Ovis aries: one gene and its partner. The protein of the gene in region 1 interacts with the protein of each later gene in a biochemical or structural test. Links are inferred from orthologs where the notes say so. Each region holds a gene or a part of one and is shown on either strand. Other genes may lie near its edges.

Region 1 (7,461 bases):
TGGGGACACCCGATTTGGTGTGTGACTCACCCGAAGGTGTCAGGTCAAGGGAGATGCAAAGGGCAAAGAGGTGAGGGGGCGCTCGCTTGGCAGCCCAGGGATCCAGAGCAGCTGAGCCCGGTCGGCAAGGGGGCTGTGTGCTCCATGTCCCCATCCCCCCAGCTCTGTCCCAGTCCTATCCAGCCTTTGCCAGTTGACAAAGGCTGAAGCTCTGCTCCTAAGGGGAGATTGCACTGGCCAATGCTGGGTCCAGCAGCTGCTGCAGCTCCTGGGAAGATTAACCCTTTCTGGGGCACCCAGGCTGTCCTAGAGCACGGCCATGAGAGGCAGGGGAGCAGGAAGTGATGGGCAGGAGGGCATGTCTGAGTGTACATATGAGTGTGAGTACATGTGCCAAAGTGTGTGTGGGTATGTAGAATGGGAAGGGGAAGATGGCATTCTCTGAAGGAAGAGAGGATTAAAAAAGAAAAGAAAAAAAAAACACCAAAGAATTCACAGGCTCTGCCTGGAAGAAAATAAATCCACCTCTGTGGTTTTCCTGTGACCTTAGTTAAAACCCCATCAAGAAAATTCTTGCCCACTGCCTCTGAAAGTACCATTTTATGGACCAAGAAATGATGCTCAGTGTCTGCTTGGACAGCAGCACCAATATGCTTTGGGACCAGCTGGCTTGTCACCAAGAAGAGAAACTGGCAGTGGAAGAGATGAGGGTATTGTTGTGGCTCGGCCAGGATAACTGCCCAGCGCGGCTCAGCTCAGCTCTGGGCCCTGGCTCTTGCCCCAGCCTCTGCCCTCATTCCGGGCCCTGCTCAGCTGCCTCTGGACCAGGGCAAGGGAATGAGGGGGCAGAGGGAACTCCAGTGCAAACTGCCTTGGAGACCCAACTGAAGTGGTGCTGAGCAGGCTTGGGTCAGGGTAGGGTCTATCCCAGAGGCTGCAGGAACCTCAGTGTCAGCCAGAAATGACCTGGTTTCCTGGGTGGGGATGGCCCAGGGCCAGGTGGGCCTTTGTGAGCTGGGAGACCCAGCAGGCTGGATCTCTGGCTCCTGCAAAGTGCCAGGCAAGGGCTGCTGCACACGTCTACAGAGGCACGGGGTCCCTGCACTGGGTGAAAGAGGTGAGGAGCGTGGGGGCCTCACCCCTGAGCCACAGTAGCGTCCCAGCCTGGGGGCAGTGCTGTCATAGCCGTCGAAGAGCTCCATGTAGTCATAGCCGCAGTCGCTCTCCTCTTCCACCTCGAAGGTCTGGAACACCAGCTCCACACCATAGCCTTCCTCGGCTACAATGACCCACTCACAGTCCACTCCCCCTGGGTAGTTGTTGTCGCCAAACTGGGCGTGGGAGTAAAGGTCCTTGGTCTTCACCTCTGCCCGAACCTGGCCACCACACTCTAGAGGGAGGAGGGGGACACAAGGTTAGCTGCTGCCCCGGAGCAGAGTCGTGGCCCAGGCACTGTCCCTCCCCACGTGCAGCCCTCCTGGCCGGATGGAGGCCCTGGGACAGCGCCACATGGCTAGAGATAGGTGGGTTTGGATCCAGCCCAGGACTTGGCCTGGAACTAGTGCTCTGCTGCTCTTTCTCTGGAAAGATGCCCACGGAGGCCCGGGGACACGGCGGGTGAAAGGCCGTTCTCCATGGAGGCCCCAGGGAGGGTGCACTTGTTGCAAGACAACGTTGCTAATTTGCTCCAGTTCATAGCTGTCATGGAAGAATGCGGGCTCTGTGACGCCAGAGCTCCCGTTCTTAAGCGAGAAGATGTCCATCTGGGTTTTATGTGAAAACTCCTAATTTTTAAATGTTGGCTCGGGTTTTTAAAAAACACATTGTGGGCCAAACATAGCAGCTCTGAGAGCCATATGGAGTTCCGGGCCTCCAGTGTGTGACCCTGTGCTGGGAGGGGCCGATGAGGGCAAGGCCATCCGTGTACAACTTCTCTGAATGTCCTCTGGCCTCCAGGACACCTGGGCTCACGGTGGGGGTTGTAGGGGAGAGAAGTAGGTGGGCAGGCCTGAGCTGAAGGGAAGGAGGGGAGGCTGTCGACCCATCAGTTCTGCGACCTCCCCAACAGGTAGCTTAAGACTCCAAGAGGCCTACCAAGCCCTCAGAGACCACGGCTGGTCTGACATCCCAGGCCTCGCAGGACTAGGCTATAGCCTTTCTCTGCAGCCACACCATCCCCAGTTGACTGCTGTCATCACATGCCCACTGTTCTAGCCACTACATGACCTGCATTCACTTATGTACACCCAGAGCTATCTGGAGTTGTGGCTGTGCTTGGGCTCCTCTCCCACCTGCAATGACCCATCATCTCATACCCAGAGCAAGGCCCTGATCGTGTTTTGTCTTCTGTTGGAATTATCTGTCTGGGTCCCATCTCACCCCCAGGCTGCGGGTTCCCAGGTGGGCAAGGTGAAGGGCTCATGGCTGATTCATTTCCCCATGCCCCTCTGAGTCCCCTGCAGGGGGCCAGGGCTCCATAAAAAGTCGTTGAATAAACGAATGAGTAGATGCAGAGCAAATCCCTCAAGGACTGACCCACACTCAGGATGCTGTAACATACATGCGGCATGTTAATGAATGAACGAGTGGATTTGGGGGGTGGGATGTGGATGGGCCACTGCACAGTCAAGTGTCCTGCCACTAGGGACTCCAGAGATTCCCTCCCCATCTCTGGGTTCTCTACCCCTTGTTGTTACTGCCCTGTTTTCTGACCTTCATACCCCAAATCAGGACTTACCCTCCTTTGCCCAGAAGGCTTACTTTGCTTTCAGTAATATTTTTAAAAATATTCAGTAAATATTTTTTGAGCACCTACTGGGGCCAAGAACTAGTCTAGTTGCTACAAAGACAGCAGGGCCAAGACAGAAAGTTCCTGCTCTGTGAAGGTTTACTTCTAGGGGGGCAAGGAGAGTAGATAATAAGCAAGTAAACAAATATATAAGATAATTCCAGTTGGTGAAAATAAGCACATTGGTGAAAATAAAGCTGAATGATATATAAAAAAAGAAGAGGGCATTGCTTTATATTAGATGGGCAAGGAAGGTCTCTATACTGAGGAGGCATTTGAGCTGAGTCTCAAATAATGAGGTAGAGCAATGATTCCAGGGAAGATGATTTTAGGTGTTTCAAGCCAGAGAACTGCTGGTGCAAAGGTCCTGAGGCAGAAATCAGCTTAGCAGCCTTCAGGACATGCTGTCTCCCCACCTGGCCAGGGGCTGGGCCTGTCTGTCTTCAGGAGCTTTTTGTATACCCCCATCCTAGCCCCCAGTCTGCATTTGAGACCAGAATCAGCAGATGCCTTCAGGACAAATGACTGCATGAGGGCACCTGGCCTACAGCGGGGATCACCTGTGGAGTGGGACGCCTGGAAGCCCTTCCTCTGCACGGAGTTGTCAGAGTAGAAGCGCAGGAACATGCGGTTGCCCGTGGCCAGGACAGGCTCGGGCTTCTTGCTCCCGCAGAAGCGGCCCAGGACGGGGGCCTTGGCGTCACGCCCGTCATACACCTCCAGGTGGTCATAGGCACACTCAGGCTGGGACTCGATGTCCATCTCCATGAAGGTCTGGAGGGTGTGAGGGAGAACAGAGAATCAGGAATATGGCCAAGGGCAGGAGACGTGGGCAACAAACCAAGACCTCTGGACCCCAGTTCAGGACAGTGGCCGCTGCTGGTGGATGGGGAGAGGGAGGACCTAGGAATGGGGCAATGGCAGGTATACCCCACCATGATGCTGGGGAAAGGGCCTCTGTCCAGGCTAGACTTGCAGTTCCCACAGGGATGCTGGCCCTGTGGGCTCAGCCAGTCGCCAGCCTAAGGCGCTCTGAGTGACGTGAGGCTTTGGAGCTGATGGGAAGTAGGTGATGCGTAGATGGCATGGAGGAGCAGGCCTGGGAGTGGCACCTTACCAGCTTGACCCGGTGCCCAGGGGTGCTAGAGATGGCCCAGGTGCACTCCTTCTTGCTGGGGTACTTGTCAGGCCAGTTGGGACTGGTGATGGTGCCGCTGCTGGATGTCACCTTGTGGTCACAGCCCGCTGTGGGGAGGTGAGGCAGGGAAGGGGATCAGTGGGGACTCCTGGGTTCTAATGGCCCCTATGAAGAAAGGAAGGAAGCCGTTTCCTCCCTCCCACCCACTCCTTTCTTGTTTCTCTTGTCTTCCACTTAGAAATGAGCTGAAGGCTCACACGACTTGTTTTCTGTTCAGCCATCCAGCCTGGGGAAATCTGGCTGCTTGGTTCCAAGCTGGCCCTCGCCTGGCAGCACCTATGGAAGCAGCCCTCCCAGGTAGCCTGTGGACCTTGGAGGCCATCTGGCCACACCTCCTCTGCCCCCATCCTCTGATCTCCTGCCACGCTTCCGTGTTCACAGAAGACTTTGGCACCTGACTCAGTTCTCTCCACTCCACTCCTGCTACCATCCTAGGTGACGTCAGCAAACCCGTGGATGGTCCACCCATACGCTGACCTCCCCTGACCTTCTCAGTTCTGAGTTCTCACTTCCTTCCCCACGAGGCTCTGCCGTCACCCACAAATTCTTGGTGCTGGTGGCTACCTCTCATTCTTCCAGGGCACTCAGTGCCAGCGCACCCCTCTCCCCATTTCCCTTAACACCTTGTCAACTTTAGAGAGACCTCCACGGTGTTGATCCTTCTGGTTTCTCCCAATACTTCCTCCTGGGTTTACTTACCTTGCTTCTCCATCAGCTGGACCACACGGCCCATCACCCCGATTGCTCATCAATGGCCATGCTTGAACTGTACCATCTTGGAAAACCCCATTTGTGGTCTCTAAGTGTGGCTGGGCCCCCACTGCTTGGTATTCTTTGGACTCACCCTTCACCAGCTCAATCTCTCACCTCCTCAGCTACGGCTCCAAACCTTTGGCCCTCTCCTCAACTCCCAGCTCCCCCTCCCAGCAGACCACCTCCCCTCTTGCCTCCTGGGGAAAGGCAGAGTCTGCAAATATGAACAACTTCAACTTCCTGACCCCTACCTGCAAACTCACCTTTCCACTCACCTTCCTTCCTGCCTCATCTCAGAGAAGGTGCCCCTCACCCTGGGCAGGAGTAGATTTTCCTTCATGAGCTGGAGCTCACTGCTGCCCACCATCCGGGGACCTCTATATCACACGTTACCCACGCTCGCTCTCTCTGCCAGCTCATCCAGCCCACGAACCTTCCTATACTTTGCGCATCCTAAAACAACACTCCCTTCTGACTACCATCCCTCGTATCTCCCTTTTCTTCAAGAAAACGTGCGATGTCACGTTCTCACTGCTCATGACTCCTTGATCCATGGCAATCTGCTTTCTGCCTCGGAAAAGCACAGCCTCACAACTCCAACTGAAATGCTGATGCCCTTTATTCCTTATCATCCAATCTGACAGGTCCCTCTGAGGAAAAGCCAGTGCACTGCTGGGATGAGAAGGAAAAAGGGGTGGGTGGTGTGCAGCCTACACAGCCGCGCCTGCAGTCAGAGGCTCACAGGATGAATGCAAGGCCGCCAGGGTCCAGAGAGGAACAGGGCCCTCTCGGGCTGTGTGGAGTTGCTGGTCTCCACATTTGAGCTATGAGCTGCTTCTATTACTCATCCTCAGCTTTCCTTGTCCACACTCACTATCTCCCCACTTTTACTGGTATTCCCCGCCCTCTAATTTATTTCCACATCTGCTTCTCTTCCCAGCTAGATAGCAGTCTCCTCGAGAGCAGAGGGGTCCCCATCTTTAATTCCCCACAGAACTCTGCACGGTGCTGCACCCTCTGCGGGGGGCGGGGGTGGTGGTCAGGAAATACTGATTTGTTGCTAGCCCATCACTTGAGTAAGGAACCATGTGTGCTTCTCAAGTGACTCAGAGCCACACACAGGCTACCCTCCCAGGAATTTTACACCTGCTCCTGCTCTCTTGTTGACGCTGGTGTGGAAGGTTCCTTAGCAAAACCTTCATTTTCATTGAGAGCACAGAGAGGGCATGCAGTTTAGAAACAGCATCAGAAGGTCCTCCCCCTAGCTAAAAGATGTGGGGGCTCCATGAGTCAGGTGAACTCCGTATCTGGGAGACTGAAGTGGGGGTGAAAAGCTCTGGAGTGTCTACTCAGTGCTTCAACAGTGTTTATTCTAGTTGGCAGTTTATTTACTGGCACCTTGGTTGTCCACACAGTGACGGTGTGGAAGAGGCATCTGCCAGGCCCTGTGCTATGTGCTCAAAGCAGGGGCTCGAAAGCTTAGGGCCACCTCATGAGACAGCTGAACTCAGAGGGGTGAGGGACTGGCCCAAGAGCACACAGACACTTAAGGTCAAAGGCGAGTCTGCTTTGTGTAGCTGGGGACAGTGCATCACCAGCTGGCATGGGCCACAGTGGTATTGATCAGAGGGAGCAGGCCAGGGCTGTATTGTGTACGAAGAGGAGGTATCACGTGATATGGGAGAGGACACGAGAACTGTTTTTGAGCTTCTGCAGAGCCTCAATGTCAGGGAGGCCGCAGCCCTGTTCTAGGTGTCCCTGGGGGTCAGAGTACGTGACCAGTAATGGTGACACACGTGATCGTGCTTGCTACGAGCCAGGCACTTCTCGGAGCACATCACAGTGTCACCGCCCAACCAGGCAGCACCTACGAGCAAATCCAGGTGTGGAGGGAGGGATTCAGCGGCTCAGGGCCCACAGCTGGCTAAGAGGTGGGGCTAGGCCAGGCAGCCTGGCTCCAGAGCCCAGCTCTTCACCACTATCCCAGCTCACCTCCCTGACAGAGGGAGGCTGGAACAAAGAGACACACCTGAACATGGATTTGAAGGAGCGCTAGTTACCAGATCAGCTTGACAACAGGGCCTGGGGATAGCTGCAAGCCCCTCCCCTCCGTAAGTGTGTGTGTCTTGAATGTTGCTGGTGGAGGGAGGAGCATGGAAGGCGAAACGAGGTGACCTCAGAGGTCACTCAGCTACTTGAGTCCAAACAGAGGCCGAGGGAGACGGCATCTCTGAGCCCTTTCCACGGTCTTGGTTCTCAGGCTGCCAGCTGGCCATGGGCACTTGGGCCACTTACCTTCCTTGCAGTCATGCTTGTTGTCGTGGAGGACGAAGCCACTGCGACATTGGCATTCGTAGCTGCCGAAGGTGTTGACGCAGTCCTGCTGGCAGCCGCCGTTGTCCTTGGAGCACTCGTCCTTGTCTGCAGGGGAGCAAGCAAGGGAGGACCGGTCTGTGCAAGGGCCAAGGGCACTGGCACCCCAAGGGAAGTGGGGGGCCTGGCCGGGCATCCTCCCCACCCTGGGGGAGGCAGGGCAGGGAGCGGAGGTCAAGGCGATGGTGGGGGTCCAGGGCACTGCCTCATGCAGAGCCAGCTGAGGGGGCCCAGCTGTGCGGAGAGAAAGTTGAAATGGACGGAGGGAGGGTTGGGGTCTGGAGCTGACCAGCATGGGCGCCCTCTACCATTACCTGCTTACTGGACAGACGGACAAGTGGAAAAACAG
Region 2 (7,461 bases), on another chromosome or scaffold:
GCGGCCGCCAGCCAAGCCCGTCCCCGCAGGCTGCTCCTTCGGCGGGAAGGTCTATGCCTTGGACGAGACGTGGCACCCGGACCTGGGGGAGCCCTTCGGGGTGATGCGCTGCGTGCTGTGCGCCTGCGAGGCGGTGAGTGGACCCAATGGCTGTGGCCGGGGGCCCTGTGGGTCGGGGAGCGCTGAGGTCTTGGGACGTCGGATGGACCCGGAGCTGCTGAAGAGAAAGAAGCCAGTCTGCAGATATTTGGGATAATTTTTTTGGCGGAGGAGGCACGAGGAAGGATAGAGGAGAGGAAGCGCCCCCTTCAAGTCTCAGGTGTTGCCTATTATTGATCGTCCACTGTGTCAGGCTCTTAGCCAACTCCATTTCATCTCTCACTTAACTCCTAGTACAACCGCGTTAGACAGAGAGTATCATTGCTCCCGTTTTTCAGACGGGGACCGCGCAGCCCAGAGAGGTTAAGTAACTTGTCTAGAGTCACGCAGCTTGTAGGTAGCAAAGCACTCTTGACTCCGTGGGCCGACCTTGACCTTGTCCGATGCCTTCTCGGCTTGCCTTTGATTCTCAACAATTGATGTCTTGCCCTCACTCGGCTTTCCGTCTTCTCTGTGAGCAGCCTCAGTGGGGTCGCCGCGCAAGGGGCGCAGGCAGGGTCAGCTGCAAGAACATCAAGCCCGAGTGCCCAACCCTGGCGTGTGGGCAGCCGCGCCAGCTGCCTGGACACTGCTGCCAGACTTGCCCCCAGGGTAAGGCCGGCTCCGCGGAGAGGGGAGGGCGGCAGGGCCGAGATGCGTGGCTGGGCGGAATGGAACGGTCAACTGGCCCTCTCCTTGCCCACCCGAAACCCGTGTCCCCCACCCTCGGTGCAGAGCACAGCAGTTCGGAAAAGCAGCCGACGGGCCTGGCCTTCGAGTATCCACGCGACCCAGAGCACCGAAGCTACAGCGACCGTGGGGAGCCAGGAGCTGAGGATCGGGGGCGTGGAGACGGCCACACGGGTAGGCAGAGGCCGGGTAGGAACTGGGGTTGTGACAGGCGCCGGGCCGCAGCAGCGGGTGACGGAACTAGGGACATCTTCCTCCCCTCGCAGACTTCGTGGCGCTGCTGACAGGGCCAAGGTCGCAAGCGGTGGCGCGGGCTCGAGTGTCGCTGCAGCGCTCCAGTCTGCGGTTCTCCATCTCCTACCGGCGGTGAGAAAGAGGAAGGAGGGAGGAGGGGTCAGCCCGGGGCCAGGGAGGGAGAATTTGGAGAGGCTGCAGCAGCGCTTCTGGCCCAGGCTCAGAGCCGGTGCTCAAGGGATGCTCATTACCAGGCTGGACCGCCCTACCCGAATCCGCTTCTCTGACTCCACTGGCAGCATCCTGTTTGAACACCCTGCAGCGCCCACCCAAGATGGCCTGGTGAGATGATGCCATTTATGAGTGCTTATCCCATCTGGGCACTATGCTGAGAGCATGCTCTACATTGCCTCCTCGGGTCCTCACAACAGCCCAGTGGGAGAGAGGCACTGACATTATGATGCCCATTTTACAGATGAGGGAACTGAGGCTCAGTAGCAGAATGTGATTTGTTCAAGGTCATACAACTAGTTGGTGGAGGATCTGGGATTTGAACCCTGGCATCTGGTTCCAGGGCCCTTTCTTACACATCCTAGGAGAGCCTGGGGACAGCTTCCCGTATTCCTTTCTCACCAGACATGGGCCTCTCAGCAGGCATGTCCTGTATACTGAGAGGGCCTTCTTGTCTCTCTGCTCCAGGTCTGCGGGGTGTGGCGGGCAGTGCCTCGGTTGTCCCTGCGACTCCTTAGGGCAGAACAGCTGTATGTGGCACTTGTGACACCCACTCACCCTTCAGGGGAGGTCTGGGGACCTCTCATTCGGCACCGGGCCCTGGCTGCAGGTGAGGGGAGCCAATCTCTCCTGGACGTGAAGTTCAGAGTCTTCTTGGCCCCCCAGAAATGGAGTGGGCTGAGGGGGGCACTTTCTGATGGGCTCTCGTGGTCCTTTTTTCCCCAGAGACTTTCAGTGCCATCCTGACCCTGGAAGGGCCCCCACAGCCAGGCATAGGGGGCATCGCCCTACTCACTCTCAGTGACACAGAGGACTCCTTGCACTTTCTGCTGCTCTTCCGTGGGCTCCTGGAGTCCAGGAGTGGGGGTAAGCGGGATGGGGGCAGACACGTGAAGAGGGTAGGGAGAGCACCCATCTTTCAGAGGTTCCATGTGTGTGGCTATTGCAGGACCAGCCCAGGTTCCCCTGTGGCTCCGGATTCTACACCAGGGGAAGCTACTTCGAGAGCTCCAAGCCAATGCCTCAGCCCAGGTGAGTGAGGGTCTGGCTCTAACTGCCGCCTGCTCTAGCCTCTTGCTGTGCCCACCGCACCCTCCTCTGCCCCCAGGAACCGGGCTTTGCTGAAGTGCTGCCCAACCTGACAGCCCAGGAGATGGACTGGCTGGTGCTGGGGGAGCTGCAGATGGCCCTGGAGAGGGCAAGTGGGCCAGGGCTACGCATCAGTGGACACATTGCAGCCAGGCAGAGCTGCGATGGTGAGGCAGGGTGAAGCCGGGCACCCCGGGCACACACAGTGAGAGGCACAGCAAAGTGCCAGAGGAGGGGCCAGGGTGGGTACAGGAGGGATCCTGGGGGCTGGGGTGTGAATGGCCGTGGGGCAAGCCTGCGTCCACCTGTCCCTCCCCTTTGCAGTCCTGCAAAGTGTCCTTTGCGGGGCGGATGCCCTGATCCCAGTTCAGACGGGTGCAGCGGGCTCAGCCAGCCTTACACTGCTAGGAAACGGCTCCCTGATCTACCAAGTAAGAGTCAGGGGTGGGGCAGGGGCGGTGCAGGAGGTGAGAAGGCAGCAGGGCAGGGCGGGGCTTTAGACTACAAAGGTTCAGGGCCCAGCCCTTCTCTGCTACTCTCATTTGCCCTCCCCACTCCTGCCCTCCAGGTACAGGTGGTAGGTACAGGCAGTGAGGTGGTGGCCATGACGCTGGAGACCAAGCCTCAGCGGAGGAACCAGCACACTGTCCTCTGCCACATGGTTGGACTCCAGCTGGGAGGACACAGGGTGAGTGCTTCAGGAAGACCAGGGCCGCAGGGCCCAGGCAGCAGAGTTGACAGTGTTAGGGGGCCGTGGGAAGCCTGTTGGATGAACAGGGATGTTTGGCATTATTCACTCACTTGCAGTCTCTCTCACTGATGCATTGATTCACTGGACTCATTTTTTAGTGAGCCTTGGGCTAAGGACTGCAGTACAAAGAAAATCAGATGTGGCTCTTGTCTTCAGGAAGCTTGTATCCAGTGGAAGGAGTTACATAGGGAGGCCAGTGCAGCAGATCATATAATGTTAAACATAATAGCAATGACTGCCATTTATTATTGATCCTTTCTAGATGCCACAAACTGCACTGGTTGCCTTGCTTACATTATTTTTGGCCCTCACATTACTCATCTAACAGATGATGAAGAGAAGGATCAGAGAGCTTAAATAATTCCTCAAGATGGGTTGCATAGGTAGGAAGTAGCAGAGAAAGTTCTTGAACCTGGGCCTGCCGGTTCTTAGCCAGTGTTACTGGTGCATGGCAGTGTGTATGGGTTTAGTAGGGATGCACAGCAGCATGGAAAGGGTTCAGAATCTTGGGCTTGTGTGAAAGCTGAGGAGGGTTCATCCGGGGCCTGGCAGGCTGCAGTTTGGGCTCACTCTTCCCTGCCCTCTCAGGCCGTGGGTATCTGCCCTGGGCTGGGTGCCCGGGGGGCTCATATGCTGCTGCAGAATGAGCTGTTCCTGAACGTGGGCACCAAGGACTTCCCAGATGGAGAGCTGCGGGGCCACGTGGCCGCCCTGCCCTACAGTGGGCACAGCGCCCGCCATGACAGTGAGTGCTCCAGGGGTCTGCCCCCACCTTTGGTGTCCTCTAATTCAAGCATGTGAGGGATGGTGCGAGAGGGCCAGAGCCTGGCACTTCTTTCTCTGCACCTGAGCTCCAGTTGGCATCTGGAGAAGGTGAGGATGTTCAGGGTGGCCCTGCCGGGAGATGGTCCCTCTCACCACAATGCAGGCCTCTCCCTTGCTGCTTCCCCAGCCCTGGGCCTGTGGACAGTGCCTGCTAGTTTGTGGAGTCTGTGCCGAGGGAGATGGGAAATGCTAGGGTTAAGTCACTGCTCTCAGCCATCTTCTCATTAGTCATCTCTTCTCTGTCTGGATCCAGCACTGCCTGTGCCCCTGGCAGGAGCCCTGGTGTTGCCCCCGGTGCAGAGCCAGGCAGCAGGGCACGCCTGGCTCTCCCTGGACACCCACTGTCACCTGCACTATGAAGTGCTGCTGGCAGGGCTTGGTGGCTCAGAGCAGGGCACCATCACTGCCCACCTCCTCGGGCCTCCTGGAATGCCGGGGCCCCGGCGGCTGCTGAAGGGATTCTACGGCCCGGAGGTGAGGAGGTGTTGGTGCGAGGCAGTTTGGAAAATAGCTGCTTTTTAGCATGAAAGGCTCTGTGGGCCTGGGCAGGGGAAACAGAGAGCAGGCAAGCCTCAGGAGTCAGACAGACCTGGGTACGAATCTGGTTCAGCCTTTTAGTATCCTTTTATCCACCTGTGTCCTACTCTGCTGGGATCTCGTGGGTAGTTTGTAATGTCCTGGACCTCCAAGGGGTGGGTGGGATGGACCAAGCCCCCGACATGGGCTGGGTTGCTGTAGACCTGGGGCTTCTGAGCTCTGCACCATTGCTGATGGGCTTGCTTCTCTGGAGACCTTACTTAACTTCCCTGGGTCTCAGTTTCCTTACCTGAGAAACTGGGAATGGCAGGCTTAGTCCGAGAGTGCCTTGTTCTGTCCCCTCTTCTGTCTGCTGCCAGGCCCAGGGTGTCGTGAAGGACCTGGAGCCCGAGCTGCTGCGGCACCTGGCTCAGGGCTCTGCCTCCCTGCTGATCACCACCAAGGGGAGCCCCCAAGGGGAGCTGCGAGGGCAGGTAGGGAGGCAGTGCGGGCCTGTTGGGATGGGTCAGATTTGGGTGAGTACTGTGGTGCTCTTTGTTAGCCACTTGCCCTCTCCGAACCCTGGGGGCGGTAGAATTGCACACACTGCCTAGCTCGCTGAGAGGATGAAGCCAGACTAGGTACTTAATGAGGCAAGAAGCTGACCACCTGTCCTTGGTGGCTGGGATGAGTGCTGTGGCTAAGAGCATCCTTCTGGGGCAGAGTGGGTGCTCTGGGTGTCTTGGCTGCCACTGGTGGAGATGCAAGAGGGAGCCTGGGTGCTGCCTCAACCTGCCTCTCCTCTCAGGTGCACATTGCCAACCAATGTGAGGTGGGCGGCCTGCGGCTGGCGGCAGCAGGGGACAAAGAAGTGCAGGTGCCTGGGGCTCTGGAGGCGGTGGCGGCCATGGTGGCCCCACTGCCCGCTGTGCCGGGCCCAGACACCTCAGCGCCAGCCAGACCAGGTGGCCCCGGTCGGCTCCGAGACCCCAACACCTGCTTCTTCGAGGGGCAGCAGCGCCCCCACGGGGCTCGCTGGGCTCCTAACTATGACCCGCTCTGCTCACTCTGCACCTGCCAGGTAGGAGGCCCCGGAAGGGTGCACTGGGGCCTGGGTTCTGGAGCCCCGGAACCAACCCTCAATCTCTCCCTGCAGAGACGCACGGTGATTTGTGACCCTGTGGTGTGCCCGCCGCCCAGCTGTCCAAGCCCAGTGCAGGCGCCGGACCAGTGCTGCCCTGTGTGCCCGGGTGAGTGCCCTGCAGGAGTGGAGAGGTCATGGAGGGTCCACCATGGGGGGCAGTGAGGCCTCTGGGGAGGGAAGCAAGAAGGGGGCCAACCTCTGCCTTCATTATTTCTTTGGATCCACAGAGAAACAAGATGTCAAAGACCTCCCGGGGCTGCCAAGGAACAGGGACCCTGGCGAGGGTGAGCTGGAAGTGTGTGAATACAGGGGTGGGGAGTCAAGCGGAGCTGCTGGGTAGGATGGGGGGTAGTGGGAGGGGGAGTGTATTTACTGGGATGGAGGTGGTTGAGGGGCACAGGTCACAACTGACACCTGAGAGGCTTCATTAAAGGCCTTGGCCCACAAGTGGGCCCTGGGGCTAGACCACTGTGGAGTTGGCCTGAAGCTCCAGCCTGGGTTGTGGACCTAGGTAATGAACTCAGCACTAATGGCGCTGGGCACTGTCTCCCACCAGGCTGCTATTTTGATGGTGACCGGAGCTGGCGGGCAGCAGGCACCCGGTGGCACCCTGTCGTGCCCCCGTTTGGCTTAATTAAGTGTGCTGTCTGCACCTGCAAGGTATGGCAGCCCAGCTTTCTCTGATGCTGGAACCCCTAAGATCTTCAGAGTGGGAGAGGGGGCTTCTGGGAGAGGAAAGCCCAGTCTTGGTGGTCAAAATAATAGGAGAAGTCCTTTGCACAATCTTTTCAGAGGGTGGCCACACCATGGGACTTGGGCTTCCCTGGTGGCTCAGATGGTAAAGAATCTGCCTGCAATGCAGGAGATCTGAGTTGATCCCTGGGTCAGGGAGATCCCCTGGAGAAGGGAATGGTAGCCCACTCCAGTATTCTTTCCTGGAAAATCCCATGGACAGAGGATCCTGGCAGGCTACAGTCCATGGGGTCGCAAAGAGTTGGACACCACTGAGCAACTAAGCATAGACAGCACACACACCACATGACTTGCAGGACCCCAGACGGAACGTGGACCCATGGCAGGAAAGTGCTGAGTCCTAACCACCAGGCCACAGGGAACTCTCAGTCCCTGGGCTTTGAGAGTTGGCTTCCTGTAGGAAAAGGGCAAGGGCTGATTTGGGTGAATTCTGGCTCTCCCAGCTGACTAGCTCCATGTAACCCTGGGCACTTTCTGTATGTCCCTGAGTCTCACTTTGCTCGCCCAGAAGCAGAGATGGTTCCACCTACCTTGCAGGGCTACAGTGAAGATTTGAGTTCAGGTATATAAAGCCCCAGGCTTCCCAGATGGCACTAGGAGTAAAGAACCCGCCTGCCAGTGCAGGAGATACAAGAGATGCAGATTTGATCTCTGGGTGGGGAAGATCCCTTGGAGCAGGAAATGGCAACCTACTTCAGTATTCTTGCCTGGAAAATCCCATGGACAGAGGAACCTGGAGGGCTACAGTCCATAGGGTTCCAAAGAGTCAGACATGACTAAAGCGAATTGGCACGCATGTAAAACCGCAGTCCAAGCCCTCTGGGCTTCCCTGGTAGCTCAGCTGGTAAAGAATCTGCCTGCAGTGCAGGAGACGCTGGTTCGATTCCTGGGTTGGGAAGATACCCTGGAGAAGGGACAGGCTACGCATTCCAGTATTCCTGGGTCTCCCTTGTGGCTCAGCTCGTAAAGAATCCACCTACAATGAGGGAGACCTGGGTTCAATCCCTGGGTTGGGAAGATCCTCTGGAGAAGGGAAAGGCTACCCACTCCAGTATTCTGGTCAGGAGAATTTCATGGACTGTATAGTCCA

What was found.
Region 2: of the proteins of BMP1 (region 1) and CHRD, one has a biochemical effect on the other in vitro, tested with the Homo sapiens proteins (3 studies listed by BioGRID and IntAct). The link is inferred for Ovis aries from reciprocal best matches to the Homo sapiens genes BMP1 and CHRD.

The regions. Positions count from the first base shown.
Region 1 is NC_056055.1:43,401,689-43,409,149, forward strand, and holds part of BMP1 (bone morphogenetic protein 1), read right to left. Parts: intron 7,161-7,461; coding exon 7,035-7,160; intron 4,034-7,034; coding exon 3,906-4,033; intron 3,563-3,905; coding exon 3,349-3,562; intron 1,391-3,348; coding exon 810-1,390; 3' UTR 1-809. UniProt on the Homo sapiens protein: Metalloprotease that plays key roles in regulating the formation of the extracellular matrix (ECM) via processing of various precursor proteins into mature functional enzymes or structural proteins.
Region 2 is NC_056054.1:203,591,905-203,599,365, reverse strand, and holds part of CHRD (chordin), read left to right. Parts: intron 1-29; coding exon 30-133; intron 134-620; coding exon 621-750; intron 751-873; coding exon 874-1,002; intron 1,003-1,094; coding exon 1,095-1,194; intron 1,195-1,316; coding exon 1,317-1,404; intron 1,405-1,761; coding exon 1,762-1,903; intron 1,904-2,019; coding exon 2,020-2,160; intron 2,161-2,242; coding exon 2,243-2,325; intron 2,326-2,401; coding exon 2,402-2,549; intron 2,550-2,706; coding exon 2,707-2,813; intron 2,814-2,950; coding exon 2,951-3,070; intron 3,071-3,721; coding exon 3,722-3,878; intron 3,879-4,211; coding exon 4,212-4,432; intron 4,433-4,854; coding exon 4,855-4,968; intron 4,969-5,282; coding exon 5,283-5,555; intron 5,556-5,630; coding exon 5,631-5,724; intron 5,725-5,845; coding exon 5,846-5,902; intron 5,903-6,174; coding exon 6,175-6,278; intron 6,279-7,461. UniProt on the Homo sapiens protein: Dorsalizing factor. Key developmental protein that dorsalizes early vertebrate embryonic tissues by binding to ventralizing TGF-beta family bone morphogenetic proteins (BMPs) and sequestering them in latent complexes.